Arabidopsis thaliana: one gene and its partners. The protein of the gene in region 1 interacts with the protein of each later gene in a pairwise test. Each region holds a gene or a part of one and is shown in the gene's direction. Other genes may lie near its edges.

The links.
Region 2: the proteins of AT1G34350 (region 1) and AT5G17210 interact in a protein complementation assay, tested with the Arabidopsis thaliana proteins (one large-scale study listed by BioGRID).
Region 3: the proteins of AT1G34350 (region 1) and UMAMIT25 interact in a protein complementation assay, tested with the Arabidopsis thaliana proteins (one large-scale study listed by BioGRID).

The regions. Positions count from the first base shown.
Region 1 is NC_003070.9:12,531,632-12,537,333, forward strand, and holds AT1G34350 (Tmem18), read left to right. Parts: upstream 1-2,794; 5' UTR 2,795-2,953; coding exon 2,954-3,094; intron 3,095-3,269; coding exon 3,270-3,450; intron 3,451-3,764; coding exon 3,765-3,913; intron 3,914-4,200; coding exon 4,201-4,296; 3' UTR 4,297-4,464; downstream 4,465-5,702. Other genes in the region: AT1G34340 (alpha/beta-Hydrolases superfamily protein), read left to right, coding at 1-42, 117-206, 303-425, 651-728, 945-1,030, 1,149-1,197, 1,346-1,402, 1,560-1,690 and 3 more; PS1 (forkhead-associated (FHA) domain-containing protein), read left to right, coding at 4,866-5,178, 5,297-5,538, 5,648-5,702.
Region 2 is NC_003076.8:5,653,183-5,659,255, forward strand, and holds AT5G17210 (transmembrane protein, putative (DUF1218)), read left to right. Parts: upstream 1-3,165; 5' UTR 3,166-3,336; coding exon 3,337-3,432; exon of another isoform or gene 3,433-3,696; intron 3,697-4,160; coding exon 4,161-4,372; intron 4,373-4,466; coding exon 4,467-4,788; 3' UTR 4,789-5,011; downstream 5,012-6,073. Other genes in the region: AT5G17200 (Pectin lyase-like superfamily protein), read right to left, coding at 342-746, 854-962, 1,057-1,346, 1,450-1,608, 1,760-1,894, 1,987-2,154; GSTF12 (glutathione S-transferase phi 12), read left to right, coding at 5,346-5,492, 5,558-5,606, 5,692-6,073.
Region 3 is NC_003070.9:3,024,805-3,032,250, reverse strand, and holds UMAMIT25 (nodulin MtN21 /EamA-like transporter family protein), read left to right. Parts: upstream 1-2,701; 5' UTR 2,702-2,928; coding exon 2,929-3,107; intron 3,108-4,497; coding exon 4,498-4,560; intron 4,561-4,636; coding exon 4,637-4,753; intron 4,754-4,839; coding exon 4,840-5,092; intron 5,093-5,205; coding exon 5,206-5,364; intron 5,365-5,451; coding exon 5,452-5,603; intron 5,604-5,698; coding exon 5,699-5,900; 3' UTR 5,901-6,189; downstream 6,190-7,446. Other genes in the region: AT1G09390 (GDSL-like Lipase/Acylhydrolase superfamily protein), read right to left, coding at 1-134, 732-987; AT1G09370 (Plant invertase/pectin methylesterase inhibitor superfamily protein), read right to left, coding at 6,826-7,356.

The DNA.
Region 1 (5,702 bases):
GCTGTTGTTATTCCAGGGTTAACTAGTGATTCTTCATCTGCAGTAAGTTTAGTTTTAAATCACTTATCTGTTCTTTAATGGCTAATTGACTTTATATTGGTGATTTTTTGTTGTAGTATTTAAAGCATCTTGCTTACGACACTGCAAAAACAGGTTGGAATGTTGTTATTAGCAACCATAGAGGATTGGGAGGAGTTTCTGTTACTGTGAGTTCGCTAGTTTTATGAATCTACGAAAAGTTGTGATTACTTATATACATATATTCTTTTATGTAAGTGTTGTTTTGTGGCAAATGTATGTAGTCAGATTGCTTCTATAATGCTGGATGGACAGATGATATAAGGGTAGTTCTTGATTATCTTCAACACAAATACCCGAGGGCTCCTCTCTTTGCTATTGGCACTAGCATTGGAGCAAATGTTCTGGTACTAAATCAGGAACCGCAGTGTTTTACTTAGCTTTGAATGATGTTTAAGTGTGAAGATTTGCTTTGTTTTTCATGGACTTTTTGTTACATATTGCTCAGTTGGCTGCACCATATGCTACATTCAAAAAAACGATTTCAAGCTAAAAGAGTAGATTGATTATATATGTTTTTCAAATACCATTGATATGCGTGAGGAGGTTCCTGAATTTATCTTATGCTTCAGGTAAAATACCTTGGGGAAGAGGGTGAAAAGACTCCTCTGAGAGGTGCTGTTGCTATCTGCTCTCCATGGGACCTCTTGGTGAGCTATTTTTCATAACTGTCTTGTTCTTTGTATATTGATTCGTGTCTGAAGTTGTCTCTAATAACTTGACGAGAAATTATGACTTCCTTAATTTTCTTCATTGGGTTCTGATTTCAGACCTTTGAACTTGTAAATAGTACTAAGGGTTTTGTTTGATACAAGTGGATGCTTGATACGTTATGCTTTTTCTTTTCCTTTTCTCCTCCCAACAAGATTGGTGACAGGTTTATCTGTCGGACTTTGAAACAAAAGCTCTATGACAAAGCTCTCACCATCGGACTCCAAGGTTATGCCCAATTGTATGTCCACCAAGAACTGCCTAGATTTTGAGTTTGTAAGATGGGCTGAGAGGAGATATTTCCGTTTTACTGCTTTGAGAAGATCAGGTTTCAGTTATAACTTTTGGTTTCATTGCAGGCATGAACCTCAGTTTTTACGGCTTGCTAATTGGGAAGGCATCAAAAAGGTTAGTAGGTTAATTAACCACAGGCCCATAAGTTATACAGTCTACTTGGTAGATGCATTGAAACAAGCAGAGTTCTTAAGCAAATAACTTACATATTTCTTTCCCTATCGACGTTGTCTGTTGTTGTCCGTTGTTTTTACTTCATCAGTCACGTTCCATCCGAGATTTTGACAACCATGCTACCTGTCTAGTTGGAAAATTCGAGGTATTAGTTCTCCTCCATATTATCTTAACTTCTGATGTTAGTTTTCCACCGCAATTGGCTTTGTAATTCATATATTCATCTTTGCAATGCTCTTCATAATCACCATTAAGTTCTCTGTTGATTTAATATAAGTACAACGGGTTGCACCTTTATGCAGACTGTGGATACGTATTACCGAAAATCGAGCAGCACTCAATACGTAGGAAATGTGGCGGTGCCACTACTCTGTATAAGTGCTCTAGATGATCCATTATGCACAAAGGAAGCTATTCCCTGGGACGAATGCAGGTAAGACGCTATCTATCTCTTTTTAAATCTTAAATCCTGTTACAGCGATTAACATGAAGTTTCTATTGAAAAGGGCCAACAAAAACATTGTCTTGGCTACAACAAATCACGGGGGACATCTAGCGTTCTTCGAAGGATTAACTGGATCTAGCTTATGGTTGGTATATTTCAGATTGTAACTAAGTAATAATAGTACTTCCTATTTTGACTGCCTATATATGTTGTTGTGTATAGGTGGGTTCGAGCCACCAACGAGTTTCTTGGCGTCCTTAGCTGCAGTCCTTATATGCATATACAGAAAGTAAGTTTCCGTTTATTAGAATTGCAGTTTAGATAATTTAACTCTTCTCTCTATTTCTTTCTTCCTAAGATTATCAATTTTTTTGCAGATTGTAGATAAAAGAAGCTCAGGGTCAGGGAAACAAGAGCCATCGATAAACCAAGGCCCGTACCTAAACATTGCAGAAGACGGGTTGGTGGCAGCAGTCAAATATGAGCAAGACACCAATAAGACCACACTGAAGCAGAGAGGGCGAAAGCCTGAGGAAGATGTAACAAAGAAAAGCTTTAAAGAGCTGTGTAGGCAGACAAAACAGTCGGTATGGTGGCTTGGTTACATAGGCATGGTTACAAGTTTCCCTTTACTTGGGATGCTCCTAAACTACATCTTCCGTAAGAAGCAACGACCCACAACAACATCCACATCCTGAAGTTGCTTTCTTTCTCAACATCTCCATTCACTCATTCTTCTATCTGTTAACCTATTATCGATTATTGAGAATGTTAATAATCATCTAATTTTTTTTTATCATAAGCATAGTAATTATGTAGAGTTTTCATGAAGGAAAGGAGTGGAATCGCTCAAACTCATTTTTTGTCTTATTATTTCGGAGAATCCTTTCATTAAAACTGACTTCGATCGAAGATCAAATCATTTGGTTTGAGTATAAGTTTAGATGTTCCTGGAAAATCATATTACTCTGAATAATCCAAAATATTAGTATGTTATCTCAGTGGCATTACCGTTAAAATATGAAACTATAAGGGTATTCTGGGAAGTTGGTGATTACATTTTTTTCTTTTCCTGGCAACTTCGAGAGCTTTTAAGCGCAGAAGAAACTCGTTAAAAATCTTGGCGAGAAAAGTTGAGAACTGGAATCGAAGAAGCGATAGGGTTTTGGTTACTTGGAGTGTGAGTATTTTAGTTACCACCGCTTGCAATTTCAAATTGGTTTCTTTTTTCCGGTGACATTTAGTAAGACAATGGAAGAAATAAGATCGGCGATGGAGAAGCAAGTGGATCTCGTAGCGGATCTGGTTGAGAAACTCTCCGGAGAGCTCCGAACGGGGTTTCAACCTGCTTACGATAATTTCTTGGGGTTTTTCCACGCCATTGATTGGAAGGTAATGAGAATCTTTCTTCGTATTGCATCATTTGGTCTTGAGGAATTTAGAATCACAAGTCTAGATAAATTCTCGGTATTTGTAGAATTTCATTTGAATTCTGTGAGAATTTGAGATTCCATAAACTATACTCATATACATTGGTTTTTTCTCATCTGGCATTTTTTGGTTACAGGAACCTTGGATTATGGGTTTAATGGCGTTTCATGCTTTGTTGTTACTAGTGACTCTTCTTTCTAGAAGGCATCTCAACTTCCATATGTTCCTCTTCTTATTGGCTTGTAAGTTCCCTTTGAAACTGTCTATATATATATTGTACAAGAAATCTCTTCGATCTAATGATCTCACTAGTCTAGGTTGTGGCATTCATAGTGGATCAAGTGTTTGAGAAGCTAGTACTGACATGTTTTACTTCACTCTAGCTTATGATTGAATGCACTAGGCTTTGTTTTCTTTGTTTAGTACAATAGGATTATCGGATCATCGATGTTTGGTAAAACGAAAATATGATATTCATTTGTCTACTCAATAGCTGTGTTAGTTTAGATTATGAACTTAGTGATTGGCATATTTCTTTGCGATATTTTGTGAGTCGTCACTGCATCAATTAGAGTTTTTTCTTTTCTTAGTACACGTTATTGAGACTGATGATGTGACAAAAAATTTGCAGTGGCTGGGGTATACTTTGCAGAGAATCTCAACCGGGAGTTGAGGAAAAACTGGAAGAGCTTCTCAACTCAAAACTACTTTGACTCGAACGGAGTCTTCCTATCGACTCTCTGGTCTGGACCACTTTTGGTCATTGCAATGATAATCCTGGTAATGTGTTCAGCAATCTTTCCCTTTCTTCTCTGCATTAATATATTAGAATCTACTTGCTAGCTCTTAATAAATTGTTCCCAAGTAAAACATACTTTGATTGAGCAGTCATATTAACTGAGAAATCGAGGATATGTTTCGTGTTTGATTTGGTTTTAACTCTTAAGAGTATTTGTAGTCCTTAACTCAAACCATAGTACCATACTGATCCATGTCTTGTTTAGGATTTTAACGAACTATGTGTAGTGAATGTGGAAAATCTGATGGAGGTGTTGTGTTTTTGACAGATAAACACACTCTTTTCGCTTTGCTACTTAATCGTAAAGTGGAAAAGAGCTGAGCTCAGGCATCGCGCAAGGCTTGCTCATACCAAGGAGGAATGATCCCACTTTTTTTAATCTCACATTTATGTATACTCTCACACAATGCATCAAAACTGTTTTGAGTTTTTTAGTAGAAGCTGCTCTTTTATGTATTTCGTTTTCAATTGAATCGAATTGTATCAAACCGAACCAAACCAAATTATTCTACTTCGGTCTGTTATGGTTAAAGTTTTGAAACCCCGAATTGAATGATTTGGCATCAATTTCTAGGCATGAAAAAATTGTAGAAAAGCACATACATAAATAATCGATGACCATGTCCATACCAAACAAAAAATGAAATGAAAAATTCATGTGTTTAGTGTTTAACCGACCTAAATTTGAATTAATTAAGGGTTTAATTTGGTTATTAAAATTTGAAATTGTCGTAATAAGAGATGATGCCACAATTAGCCGTTACGAGTAAATAGAGAGAGAGAGGTCGTCGGATTCAACAACGGACTCTTTTTCAAAATCAGAAGGAGATAGAGAGAGAAAGAGAGAAACACTCTCTAAATCTTCTTCTTCTTCATCTCTTTCGTTTTCCATTTTCGAAAATCTCTCAATCGTTCGTTCTTACAGACTTATTCATGGAGGTCAAGGAAGAGAAACTGATGGAGGAGAAGCAACGATTGCCGGAGAAGACGATCCCTGTGTTCACCGTTCTGAAAAACGGCGCTATTCTCAAGAATATCTTCGTTGTGAACAGTCGCGATTTCTCGTCGCCGGAGAGAAACGGTTCCACTGTAAGCGATGATGACGGTGAAGTAGAAGAGATTCTCGTCGTCGGTCGTCATCCAGATTGTGATATTCTTCTTACGCACCCTAGCATTAGCAGATTCCACTTAGAAATCCGCTCGATCTCTTCTCGTCAGAAACTCTTCGTCACGGATCTATCCTCTGGTATGAATCATCTCTAACTCATGTTTATATTCCTCTCGCGAGATTGTTGTTACTGTGGAATTGGATCTCGATTATATGTGTTTCTGATTGTTGATTGGATTGTGTTTTTTCGATTTAGTGCATGGGACTTGGGTTAGGGATCTTAGAATCGAGCCACATGGTTGTGTTGAGGTTGAAGAAGGTGATACGATTAGGATTGGTGGTTCAACAAGGATCTATAGGCTTCACTGGATTCCGTTGAGCCGTGCGTATGATTTAGACAATCCGTTTGTTTCACCACTTGATGCGTCTACGGTGTTGGAGCAAGAAGAAGAGAATAGAATGCTTGAAGCAGAAAATCTAGAGGTAGCACAACATCAGGTTCGATCTTTGATGTTTTCTCATATTTAGCTGTCCTTATTTTGCTTTAATTCTATACTTATCTGATGTTGTTTGCTTAGCCTGATAGTGTAATCTGCCTTTACTGCAGTCACTAGAGAATACTACATCAGGTGATGAGGGAGTTCTGCATCTAGATGTCACGT
Region 2 (6,073 bases), on another chromosome or scaffold:
CTGTTACACAGTCAAAGAGCGTTTGAACCTTTCTATTCTTCTCCATAATCTCATTTTTTGCAGAGGTTAAAATCCCAACTTTGTTTTGATTCAAAGCAACCTCAGAGTTTCAGTCTTTCTTAGATGATATGACCCCAAAACCCAATTTTCTGCAGGATTTATTGCAATAGTAAAAGTAACAAACTGAAACATTTATTCAGCCAATAATAAGAACAAATTAGACGTTTTCTACTTTAAAAAAAAAACTCGAGGAAAAACGGTTCTCTTCTAAGAAAAAAATTGAGAAGACTCCATTTTCTTTCTTGGTTCTTGAAGGAAAGGATTTCACAAGAAAGGCATACTTAATGTTTCAGACAATCCACTTTTGAAGCAAATAAAGACCCATGAGCATTTTTGCAGGAAGAAAACAACTTGTGACCAAATGTCGCTGAAACCATATTCACATTGTCCATCACTATATCTGAGCATCCCAAGTCTGCATCGCAGTTCAATGTAATGTCTTGATCGCTTGCAGATGACCCACGGATTCTAGCGTAACGCACGTCAGTCACTTTCACGCCTTTCCCATTACCAGACGGAGTCCGTTGTTTTGCTGTTAAATGACAGTTCTGATAGCTACTAGATGACTTGCTTATTCCTCCGTTCGTACCTCCATTGTGGTAAGTCTGGTCTATGATAATAGGGTTCTCTGAGGCAACCATGTTGATATCCTCGAATGAGATTTTCCGAGCATATCCCGATCCGTTCTACAAAACATTCACGCCAACAAAAAAAAACAGATTTAGTTTGTGAAAATGCTGAATAAGACCAAGAACTAATGATGTATAATAAAAAAAGAAGATTAATGGACAACCTGGTATGTCTTGATTCGGACACCGTTCTGTGTTTTTGTAAAAGTGCAGTTCTTTACCCTCACTTCTTCAACAGTTTCGAAATCTCCAGTTACTCCAAGACTTCCTACGCTATAATATCAAATCCATACTATAAATGATTTAGCATGTACCTTGCTGTATATTATATGATGATTGTTTGTGAATCTGTGATTTTAGGAATCACCTGATACCGTGACCGGGGCCACAAAAAATGCCGGTTATGTTGATATGAGAGGAACCGCTATTAATGGCGATGCAGTCATCTCCAGTGGCAATCACTGAGTCATGTATGTGGACTCCTATACAGTTCGATATGTCAATACCATCCGTGTTTGGACTATCACCGGGTGCTGTCATCCTTAAACCCCTGACCTCGATGTTCTGTGAACAACTTAGACCTACATGGTTCCGAGGGCTGTTCAAATGTCGGAGATTAGATATCCTAAGACCATTACAGTTGTTGAAGTGCATTGCCTAAGAAAAGCAAGGAAGAAAAAGAAACATCATTAATAACTGAGAATAAATATTTGATCGAAGTTCATATTTATGGTTGTGAGGATCTTGCAAATGGACTTACGCAGGGGCGATTATTAACGTTGCCCCACCACAAAGAACCACGACCGTCGATGGTACCACCTCCGGTGACAACAAGACCATTGATACTGTCAAAACTAATCCATGTTGTGTATCTTCCCGCATACCAAGTGTAACCCGGTGCCACAAGATTACCTCTTATCTAATGTAAATAAATCACCAAATTATTTAAACATTGGTTCGAGTTATTGTCTACTCATAAGCTAAAATCGATCACTATTGAAATCATTCACATTAGGGCTGGATTTTCCAATATAATTTGAAACAAGAGAAAGAGACAAGTATATATATACCGATAAGGAGATGGTCGAAGACTTGCATGGACCGATGAATGTAAGAGGCTTAAGCATGAAGGTTTTCCCTTGAGGCACAAGAATCTTTCTATTGTGTCCTCCTTTGCATACAGCTTCCCATGCTTTAAGAAAAGCCTGAAATATATTGATACACATAACACATACATTAAAACAAAGGTTATACATACCACTTTGATACAAATAGTGATGATTCTATAAATAAACACCTTAGTATCATCAGTCTTTCCATCGCCAATAGCTCCGAAACTAGTGACACTTATGAATCCATTGCTTCCAAATCCGTTTTTAACCTTTAGAGATTCTTCTTCTAAGCAGAAACATAATTTGTTTATTTGAAACAAACATAACAAGACAAAGAACAACGAAGATTTCATTTTTGGACGACTCATATGCTTGACGATGAGAACGAATTTCGATGATAATACGTTTTCTATCTATATATATCTCTAAATGTATATATAGGTTTGTATAAAGAAAGGTGGTTAATTGAAAGATATTGCGTTTGATTTTGTGTTTCTATGGTAAGAGATTATCGCTAATCACTAATTTTGTGTGCTATAACATGGAAACTAATAATGGACTATAATTGAGATATTGAAATCTTTATAACTATGGAATATTCAAACTTATTGACGTATTTAACAAATCGCAAACGATATATTTTTATACCGTTTTGTTTAGCGATAAGAGTGAAAGTTTACTTATATGCTTGATTCTTTCTATTGCTTACATGCTTGATTCTAGGAATGAATTAATTATGGCTTATCTAAAGATAGAAAATAGATTCATCATTAACTTATGTCATAAGAGAGAAAGAGAGACCTATGATTGAATCATTTATATGATGAATATATCCAAGGCGGCACTAATCTTTTTTGATTCACAAGAATCTTTAGATTGATTAAACCAAAATGTAAATATGACGAAACCTCATAAGAATTTTATCAAATATAAGTCCATCTAATTTCTTTAATTAGATAAATAGTAAATTTGAAATGAATAAAGATAAATAATTCATGGACGAATAAAATACAAATGATAGAACAAAATTCTCATTTTCATTCTTTATATTTTTGGTCAAGAATATTGTCATTCTATTCATTTTTGAATTATAGTAAGAAACAGATAAAATGTGTTCGTCTTATAAATGATGAAACTCTTAAATAAAATAAAATCTATGTAACCAATAAGCTATTCTTATTTAGTTAAATGGAGGAAACTTTAAATAGATTAATTTTCTCTAAATAATTTCTTTGCATACCTCAGTAGCAAACCGGTCCGGTCGGATCTGAATTGAACAAATCAAACCAAAATCAGAAACCAAACCAAAACAGAGAAAATACATTTTATTGAAACTTGAAAGTACCATTACGCGTGGATCTATGTAATAAGGAGGAGAGAGTAGAGTACTTTGCCGACTAAAAGTGAGTGCGGTGTTTAATGGGTTTGTCACCAACTTTCCATTTTCTTACCAACGAAGAAGAAGCAGAAAAAAAGTAAACAAAGACTAAAAAAAAAAAGCCAGCATCTTCGGAGTTGGTGGGAGAGAGACAGAGATGGAGAGGAGAAAGATTGTGATGTGTGGTGTTTTATTTCTTCTTGGTTTATTATCAGCTGTTACTGCCTTCGTCGCTGAAGCTACTCGAATCAAGGTTTCTTCTTCAGCACTTTTTAGGGTTTCTGTTTTTTAGTGAAATTTGTGGTTTTTCTCATGATCTTTGGGTTATTACAGCCACAATGGTTTGTTGAAACTCTATCTAAAGGATTTTTGGGTTTTGTCTGCGTTTCTTTTTATGTGTCGATTTTGAAATTCATTGCCTGAAAATGCGTTTGAGATGAAAGCTTCAATCTTTGAGATGGGAGTTGAATAATAATTGGTGGGAAACTCGTTGGTTTGGGAATTTTTCAATGAAACAGTAATGGTCCCCATTCACGGTGGTTTTTGTATAGAAGAACTTGTTGATTTCAAATTTGGAAGATCTTTGAGAAGTTTAATAGTAATTTTTTTTGTAGAGAGACTGTGTGGTAAAGAGTTGTTTTCTGGTGTGTTTTGGTAATTGCATATGTATTGATATGTTTAATGTCAGATTCCAATTCAACTAAGTCTCATTCACAAGCTTTTCACAATTCACATATGTGTTTTTGGATTTATTGAACCAAAGTTATAGCCTTTCTTAATGGGGTTTATGTATTGGTCGATTCGGTTGAATCATCTTTTTTAGAATCAATTAGTCATATAGAATTTGCAGGGTATGTAGAATCAGTTTTATTCTCTTGAACTACTCTGTCTATTAAGAAACTTTCTTGGTGTGTATTTGTGCAATGTTTCAAACTTTTTCTGAAGGTTTTGTTTTTCATTTTTATCTTAAAATCGATGCAGAGATCTCAGGTCACGGTTACCGTTTCGGATTCAATCACAAAATGCACTTATCCAAGAAGTCCAGCTTTCAATCTCGGCTTCACTTCAGCTCTCTTTCTGATGATGGCTCAGATAATAGTCAGTGTCTCAAGCGGTTGTTTCTGTTGTAGAAAAGGTCCTGCTCCTTCAAGGTCTAATTGGATTATCTCCTTAATCTGCTTTGTTGTTTCCTGGTAATTCTCATCATTTCTAATCCTTTTCTTGCTTCAAGTTTCCTACTTATAATTTGCTTACAACTAGTGAGTGAGTGATTTCGCGTTACTATAGGTTCACTTTTGTAATAGCTTTCCTCGTGCTGCTTTCTGGAGCTGCACTCAACGATGAACACACCGAGGAATCAATGAATGCTGGTACCTACTTTTGCTACATAGTGAAACCAGGCGTTTTCTCTACCGGTGCTGTGCTTTCGCTTGTTACTATTGCCCTTGGGATTGTCTACTATTTATGTTTGACTTCAAATAAGCAAATTGTTGCTGCCACAACGACCCAAGGAACAGGAATAGCAATGGGGCAGCCTCAGATTCCAGAGAGAGTAGAAGATCCTGTTTTTGTTCATGAGGATACTTACATGAGAAGACAGTTCACTTAAAAACAGACAAAGCTTGCTTGTAAAGCACGTTAGGTTTAGTAGAAGATTTAGACAAAATGATTAACGGATATGTGTTTGATTAAGAGTATTGAAACTTTGTAATGATTGTTATTCTTGATTGAAGTAGAAATCTTTGAGAACCCCAAAAACGTCACTTAGTTTTGTAGTTTTTTTCTCTGAATCTTTCTTATTTATTATGCAAGTCAAAAGTGGTTGTTGGGAAGAGAAGTGTTCGTCTCATTTACAACAAAAATTCGATAGCGATATATAGTAATCGAAATTTTATTCCCAAACAAGGGAACTTTGTTATTGATAGTTGGAACTAAAAGTTTGTAGAGAAATTTCAATGATACATATCCACCGTTAGAGGAACAACCACCACATGTTCTACCCAACCCTCACAACAACCAGTTTCTTCAAATCTTGAGTCTAATAAAATGCCAACACATCTACTCTCATTTCTTCTCATTTATAAACCAGTTTGATAGACAAGATATTAATAAGTGCATATAGTAAAATCTTTCTTATTCGTAACAAAGTTATTGTAAACTTATAGAATGGTTGTGAAACTATATGGACAGGTAACAGCAGCTTGTCCACAAAGAGTCTTGCTTTGTTTTCTCGAGAAAGGAATTGAATTTGAGATTATTCATATCGATCTTGATACATTTGAGCAAAAAAAACCAGAACATCTTCTTCGTCAGGTAAAAAAAACAAATTTCTTAAACTTAAAACATAAATATATTATAATTATTGTTTTCATGTGTAGCCATTTGGTCAAGTTCCAGCCATAGAAGATGGAGATTTCAAGCTTTTTGGTAACATCCTAATAACAACATTTTATAAACATTCTTCTATCATTTTCTTTATAGTGTTTTGAAATTTGGCTCTTTATCTTCTAAGAATCACGAGCCATCGCGAGATACTACGCTACCAAGTTCGCGGACCAAGGCACGAACCTTTTGGGCAAGTCTCTAGAGCACCGAGCCATCGTGGACCAGTGGGCTGACGTGGAGACCTATTACTTCAACGTTCTGGCCCAACCCCTCGTGATTAACCTAATCATCAAGCCTAGGTTAGGCGAGAAATGTGACGTCGTTTTGGTCGAGGATCTCAAAGTGAAGCTAGGAGTGGTCTTGGACATATACAATAACCGGCTTTCTTCGAACCGGTTTTTGGCTGGTGAAGAATTCACTATGGCTGATTTGACGCACATGCCGGCGATGGGGTACTTGATGAGTATAACCGATATAAACCAGATGGTTAAGGCTCGGGGTAGTTTTAA
Region 3 (7,446 bases), 9.5 Mb from region 1:
AATGTTGAGAGCAAAAGGAACATATCTGGGAAGAGTGGAAGATCCAACAATTGCGAAATTGGCACCGTTTTGGAACTTTGATCCAACCAATGAGTCTAAGTATGGGTTCAATAGACTTGTATTCAAACTCTGGCCTGCCAATATGTCAGAAAAGAATGGAATATTAGATTCATATTTACTTTTGAAGTTAGATATAGAAGTTGCATTTCAACTTTACCAACCACCAAAATTTAACTTGAATCTGCATATCGTTAGTAACAAAATATTTTCATGCATTATAGTATATAAATGACTAAAATATGAAACCTTATAACATGTGATTTGGACAAAACAGAACGCATACTTAACATTGATACCAAAAAAAAAAAAAAAAAACAGAACGCATCTTTTACTATACGGCGTTGTTTGACTCTTTAGTCACGCAATCTAATGTAACGAGTGGGTTCACGCGCCGAATCTACATGGTGGCACCCACTTTTGATTGTGATATCTTCCCATGTTGGTAAGTGGGACCCACTTTTCTTTGGATTAGATTTTCATCATTTCAACGAGTGAATTGTGTCGTTTTGTGGCATCACGCAACGCGATCACCGTCATCAATTATTAGCCGTTGATTAAGGTTTACATCTATTCCATCGGACGGTTGTCACGACTTCATTGCACTTACCTCTAATCTCCACCGTCTAAATAATTAACTAGAGTTAAAAAAAGTCAAGAGAAAGTTGACTTACAAAGGAAATCGATGACGAGGCGTCCGTCGGATAATCGGCCGGTGGATCTCTGGAAAAACGAACGACCGTTAGGAAGACCAATGCTGTATCCGAGTCCGGCGACGAGTCCACCCGTGTCGGAGTTGGAATCGCCAAAGTTAAAAATCACCGGCGGAACCTGACATCCTCCGGCCACTGCCAAGTTTTGTCGGAGAATGAGGATAAACGGAAGGAGAACAAGAAGGAAAGAGTGGGAGTGAAGAGAGAGAGTAGCCATTGTAACTTGCTAGTAGAGATTTGATCAAGATAGAGTGAAGATCGAAAGCTTTGTAATAAATTGTAATAATGGTAAGCCTTAAGTGTGTGGGCCTTATTTCTCTTATTTTAAGCTATAGTGTGTGAGTGTGATTCTTTAGTGAATTTAAAAACAAAGCCTAAGACTTTGTATGTTGGTGGTTGACAGTGACAGACACATAACTCAAGCTTACTGTTGGCTCCAGCTCCAATGTAGATGCTAATTGTTCATACATAAATATGCATATGCATCCTAAAGTATATATCCAAAACGAATGTACAATGGAATTTTCCTTTTGTACGTAACAACGAAAAGATAAGATCGAAAAAATATGCGGCGAAAATTTACGTTGGAACTTGGAAGCCAAAGAGGACGCGGAAATTAATCATCTGGACGCCAACGCTAGCTTGTTTGACTTATGCAAATGGAGCATTACTCATAATTTATTCATCTTCAACTCCAAAAGCATTTCGTATAAAAATTAACCACTGATATCCAGCAAAATGTTAAGCATCACTTACTTTCTCAAATTTCAGCCAACAAAAAAGTTTAACGTGTTTGGTATACCTATGTGCTGACTACAGACCAATGTTTTATCTCTATCCATATGAAATGACATTCTTGCTCAAGGAAGTCACTGTACACCTAAGGAAAGGCCTTTTAAGAATAAATGAGGCCTTTTAAGACCAATAATTGGCCCAACAATATATGTTGTTTTGTATATGAGATTTTCTTATATTATACAAGTTTTCATTATGCATTTTACTTTAGTTTACTAAAGTTTTATATATAAATCATTATGTTTCAGTATAGTTTTTAATTAAAAATTAATTAGTTTTCTGAAAATTATACTAGCCACTCTAGTTATATCCTACTTTTTAATGATATAAATTCCAGTTATTTTCAAAGATATTCTTAAATTACGTATGTCCAACCCATTGTGTAAATGATTACCTAGTTCATACATTAAAAATATATAGTATATATACAGTATGCAGTCGAACTGAAACATGTAATAATATAATCATGAATTTAATTATATATTAAATTTTAGAAATAATTAGATGCATACATTTTGCGGATACTTACCTAGTTATATTTATATTGCATAAGATGCATGCCATTCAATATATATTCGATAATCCATGCCCAACTTCCAACCCTTTTGGGATATAAATAGTTAATTTACCATTTATGATATATATTACACACACAAAAGTTTGACAAAAAGCAAGAGTGATATAATGAAAATCAATTCAAAATACGTAAGATAATACTAATTCGATATTGTTAATCAAGCGATAAACCAAGCCCTTGGTTTAATATCACAGAAACGAGTTTTAGCAAAGGCAAATTGATTGCTTGAAGCTTGAGAAAGACATTCACAAGCTCCACCAAACCCATGAAAAAACGGAAACCAAAAAAATGGATTAAAACGAGGAAAATAAGTTAGATTTTTTTTTGACAAAACGCCAATTTGGATTGTATTAGTAATCAGCAAGGAGAAAATTTAAATAAATTGCCAAAAATATCAAATGATTCATATCACCTATTGTTTCGTGTTCTTATGCCCTAAAGAGAGTCCAAGTGTTACAAGCAAACTTCATTCTCGAACCGTTTCTCACCTTTCTGTTTAAAACATCTCTCTCTATATATATGTATGTATATAAATAAATATATGTATGTGCATGTATATATAAATGTGTGTATATATACATCTTTGGCTATAAATATAAGGTCGAACCAAAATAAAATATAGATTTGGGGAAACTAATAAATGATATAGAGAATCCACCTCTCTCCCTTATTTTTTTTTCTTGGTTTCTTGACCTATTATTATTGATTAGTAATAGTGAGAGAGGCATATTTTGGAGATACACATAAACACATAAATTGGAAGAATAAAATAAAAGAGAGTGAGAGATGGCTAAATCAGATATGTTGCCGTTCTTGGCGATGGTGTTGGTGCAAATCGGCTACGCAGGCATGAACATTACGTCGAAGATGGCTATGGAGGCCGGTATGAAGCCACTCATCCTGGTCGCTTATCGTCAGATATTTGCCACTATCGCCACTTTTCCGGTCGCATTTTTTCTCGAACGGTAAAAAAAAAACCATACTAATATCTGCCCATATACATCTTATTTGATCAACTAACGATTTTAGACATGTATGAATTACACGATTAAAACAATTGCATCGATGAAATGTTGAATTTGTTTTAATTCTTGAATAAAGCATATGGGTGTTTTTATTACTTTTTTGGGGTTAAAAGTAATTAGGTTTTAGGTGGTGAGTCTATGTTTTACAAAGATCAGCAAGAAATGCTAAACTTTGATTAGCTAAATTTTTCTTTTAGCATTGTTTTTTTGTGTTTTCAAGTTTGTCTTAACTGCGAAAGTAGAAAATGATGAAATCATATTCATCAACATAAACGTCAAAATGGTGAGTGCGTATATTAAAATATTAACGACGAAAAACCATTTACTAAATGGCTTTGTGAGTCTCATGTAGAACGTTTTTACGTCTTTGAACTTTCTTGCGTCACCTAAATTTATTACTTTCCAAAAGTTTCAAAAATCAAGCTTTTTAATTTATTGACATAGAAGTACTGCATGCTTAAAGTCTTTTTTTTTTGTGGTCAAGATTTTTTTTGATATATGTTAATAACTTAATTCATCAGTACTATACGTTGAATAGATTTAAATTCATTAATTTACTTCTTATTATTTTACAATTTTGGCAACAAATGAACCTCCATTTAGAAGACTAAAAATTAAAAACACTAAACTAATAATTAAGAAAAAAAGTTTAGCACGACATCGTCTTATTTTCCGGAGATTACGATAGAATACGCATATAATGGTATATGGTAAGCTATAAGTTTCTTGATGAATAATATTAATTCAGAATGTGAAGAAAAATGTGGTAAAGAAAAAAAAGACAAAAAAGTGGTAAAGTGACGCTGATTAATTAGTTGAAATGTAGTAGACACTAGCTTTTTTCTTTTGTTTATTGGGATTAGTATTTACCGTTATTTTTTCATAATCATGGTACCGTCAATGATTTTGGTGGTATGTGGAAACCTAAGTAGTTACATTATCATTAATTCCGTTTTCCGAGAGAGAAACAAATGAGAAATGTGACGCAGTCTCACACAATCCACGCGTCACGTTTCTTTCTTAAACCGAAGCACATGATGACAAACAAATCATGATGCCAGGTGAGTTAAGCGTCGTCAGGTGCCGTGCCATCTTCATTTGCCAAGACACGTGCTTCTTCAATTACGTTTTTTACTCTGTTTCTCCACTCTAATCTCTTCATATGATATGAGAAGTGAATTTGATTGTTTTCTTGAGTCTCGGTTTAACTTAACCGGGTGGTTTTAGGATTAGTTGCATGATTACATTCAATGAGAAATGCTTTAATTGATTAATAATGATTAGTGGACTAATGAAAACATAAATTTTTCATACACGGTTTCTTGTGCAGGAAGACAAGACCGAAGATCACACTTAGGATTCTTGTCCAAGTCTTCTTCTGCTCCATTACTGGGTATCTTACATACACTTTACCTACTAATTGCAATCTTACTTTGTTATAAAGCGATTTACATTGATTTTCTTTGCAGTGCGACTGGAAACCAAGTGCTATATTTCGTAGGACTTCAGAATTCATCTCCGACCATTGCTTGTGCCTTAACTAATCTCTTACCAGCGGTCACTTTCCTCCTCGCCGCAATATTCAGGTTATATGAAATTAATCTTAATTAAGTTTCCTTCAGACAATACTCGTTTATGATTATTGCTTAACACAAGACTTTTTTCTTTTCAGACAAGAAACCGTGGGGATCAAGAAGGCATCAGGACAAGCCAAAGTGATAGGGACGCTAGTATGTGTGATCGGAGCCATGGTTCTCTCCTTCTACCATGGTCACACCATCGGCATTGGAGAATCCAAGATCCATTGGGCCTACGCTGAAAACATCACGAAACATGGTTCCAGTTCTGGCCATTCTAATTTCTTCTTGGGACCTTTTCTTATTATGGCTGCTGCCGTTTCTTGGGCCGCTTGGTTCATTATCCAGGTAACTTAATTACTTAATTAAAAAAAAATGTAGCTTCAAACAATTTGAACCCACATAATGGAAAATGAAACTAAATTCTCATTTGGTTATGATAAATATTATTTTGGTTACAGACGAAGATGAGTGAAACATTTGCAGCACCGTACACGAGCACACTACTAATGTGTTTGATGGGAAGTATCCAATGTGGAGCCATTGCTTTGATCTCCGATCATACAATCTCTGATTGGTCTCTCAGCTCTCCTCTCCGCTTCATATCCGCCCTTTATGCCGTAAGTCCACATACATATACTATGATCATTAGATAACAATCTTAAGCTAAAAATATATGACACTAGTATAAAACACGGATCATGCAGGGAGTGGTGGCGTCTGCGTTAGCTTTCTGCCTAATGTCATGGGCTATGCAGAGGAAAGGTCCTCTGTACGTCTCTGTTTTCAGCCCTTTACTTCTCGTAGTTGTCGCCATTTTCAGCTGGGCTCTTCTTGAAGAGAAACTCTACACCGGCACGTATGTTTCTATACATCTTTATCTATCTCTCTGTGTGTTTAAACATTATATAAACGAGATGATGATGATGAATTTATATGATATATGTATATTAGGTTTATGGGATCAGCACTTGTGGTTATTGGTCTCTATGGCGTATTGTGGGGGAAAGACAGAGAGGTGAGTGAGAAGGAAGAAGAAAGGGAGAAGGTGAAACAACAAAACCATAAAGTCAAGAGTGAAAGTAATGAAGATATTGAATCGAGATTACCGGTAGCAAGTAGTGGAAATGGTTCCACAAGGTCTACATCGCCTTAAAATGGTGATTGCTTCTTCATCATATATAAGTATGAGCTATGGAAGAACCTTTTGGGATTTCTTGTTATCTAAGTTACTGCAACTAAATTGGATTTTCGGAGTGTTTAATTTTGTATCCCATTTTGAGGCTAATGATGGAGTGTTGATTTGTGTGTTCATCCTATGGACAACAAATATCACCTGTTTGATCTCTATATATATTCAGTATTCTTAATCTTCATCGTTTCCATTATCTTATTTTCTTTCTAATAACCTATTTCCTTTATCCCCAAAACAAATCAAATCATAGTCTTCAAGTAATTTATTTTATGTTTTGTCAGAGGGTGAAAGTTATTACAGACCTTCAATATTCATTTAGACCCAAAATGTAAAATAGTGCCTTGAAACAGAGGGTTTCGGTTCGTGCAAGTCAATTACAATTGGCTGTAACGGTTTAATCCTGGTTTAGTAACTCAAGTGTTATATACGAATCAAAACAGAGTCGCTGTTCTGTTTTGTTAATCTTCTTCGTCATTCTTGATTACGAGTTGCAAGGTTTATCTCGGTTCATGTACCTGTAATCGATAGATATAGTAGATTTGATACAGAACATGGAGAATCACATGCGATTTAGTTAGACTTAATTGTCAAAGACAAACACTATGGACATTTATTAGTATTATTGACCACCTGATTTTGCCATAAGGTCATAATTCATAGAAGCAAAAACAGAATTAGATCTTACAGAAAAAGATATATTATATTATATCCCAAGTGTTTATTTTTATCCTTATCAAGTTCAGTTCAATTCAACCTCAGCATCAGCATCGCCATTAAAAACATATATGCATATAGAGAATTGCAATTAAGAAGATTCTGTAACCATTATTAATTAGAATATTTCTGGAAACATTTGCTACTATGTCATGATTCAACAACAATCAGATTATGAAGAAACCATATGACTAACAATCTGTTCCATGGATAGTAAGATCTTCGTCTGTCTGTTTTTCTCAATCAACGGATTGATCTGATAACCGAGCACATTGAAATCTGTCTTACAGATATCAACAGCCATAGAAACTTTCTTTTCGATATTGACAATCTTACTGTAGTAAGCTTGCTTGAAGAAGGTTACAGCTTTCGTGAACGCCGAGTTCACAATGGCGTAAGCTTCGGCGCACGCTTGAAGATCAGGCCTCTCGTCTCCAGCATTCCTGAGAAGCGTGCTGATGAAGAAATAAGTGTTGGCCGCGAACCTTTCAGCTTCGCTTACTGTCACGTTCATGATTTCTTTGTTACTTGCGGGAAAAGTATTCAGGTTCTTGATCAAGAGACTACTGCAAAATCTGGTATCCATTGTCTGCTTGCAGATTCCGTTGACCCTTTGTTGAGTTTTTTCATCGAGAAAAGCTTCTGCAACGGAGGAAGCGAGTATAATTGCCAAAACTATCGAGAGAATGTGATGCATTTTCATCTTTCTTCTTTTTTTTTTTTTTTTGTAAATTGAGTATGTGGTCATTTGAGAAAGAAATTTGTTATTTTATATATGAAATTAGGCATTTGA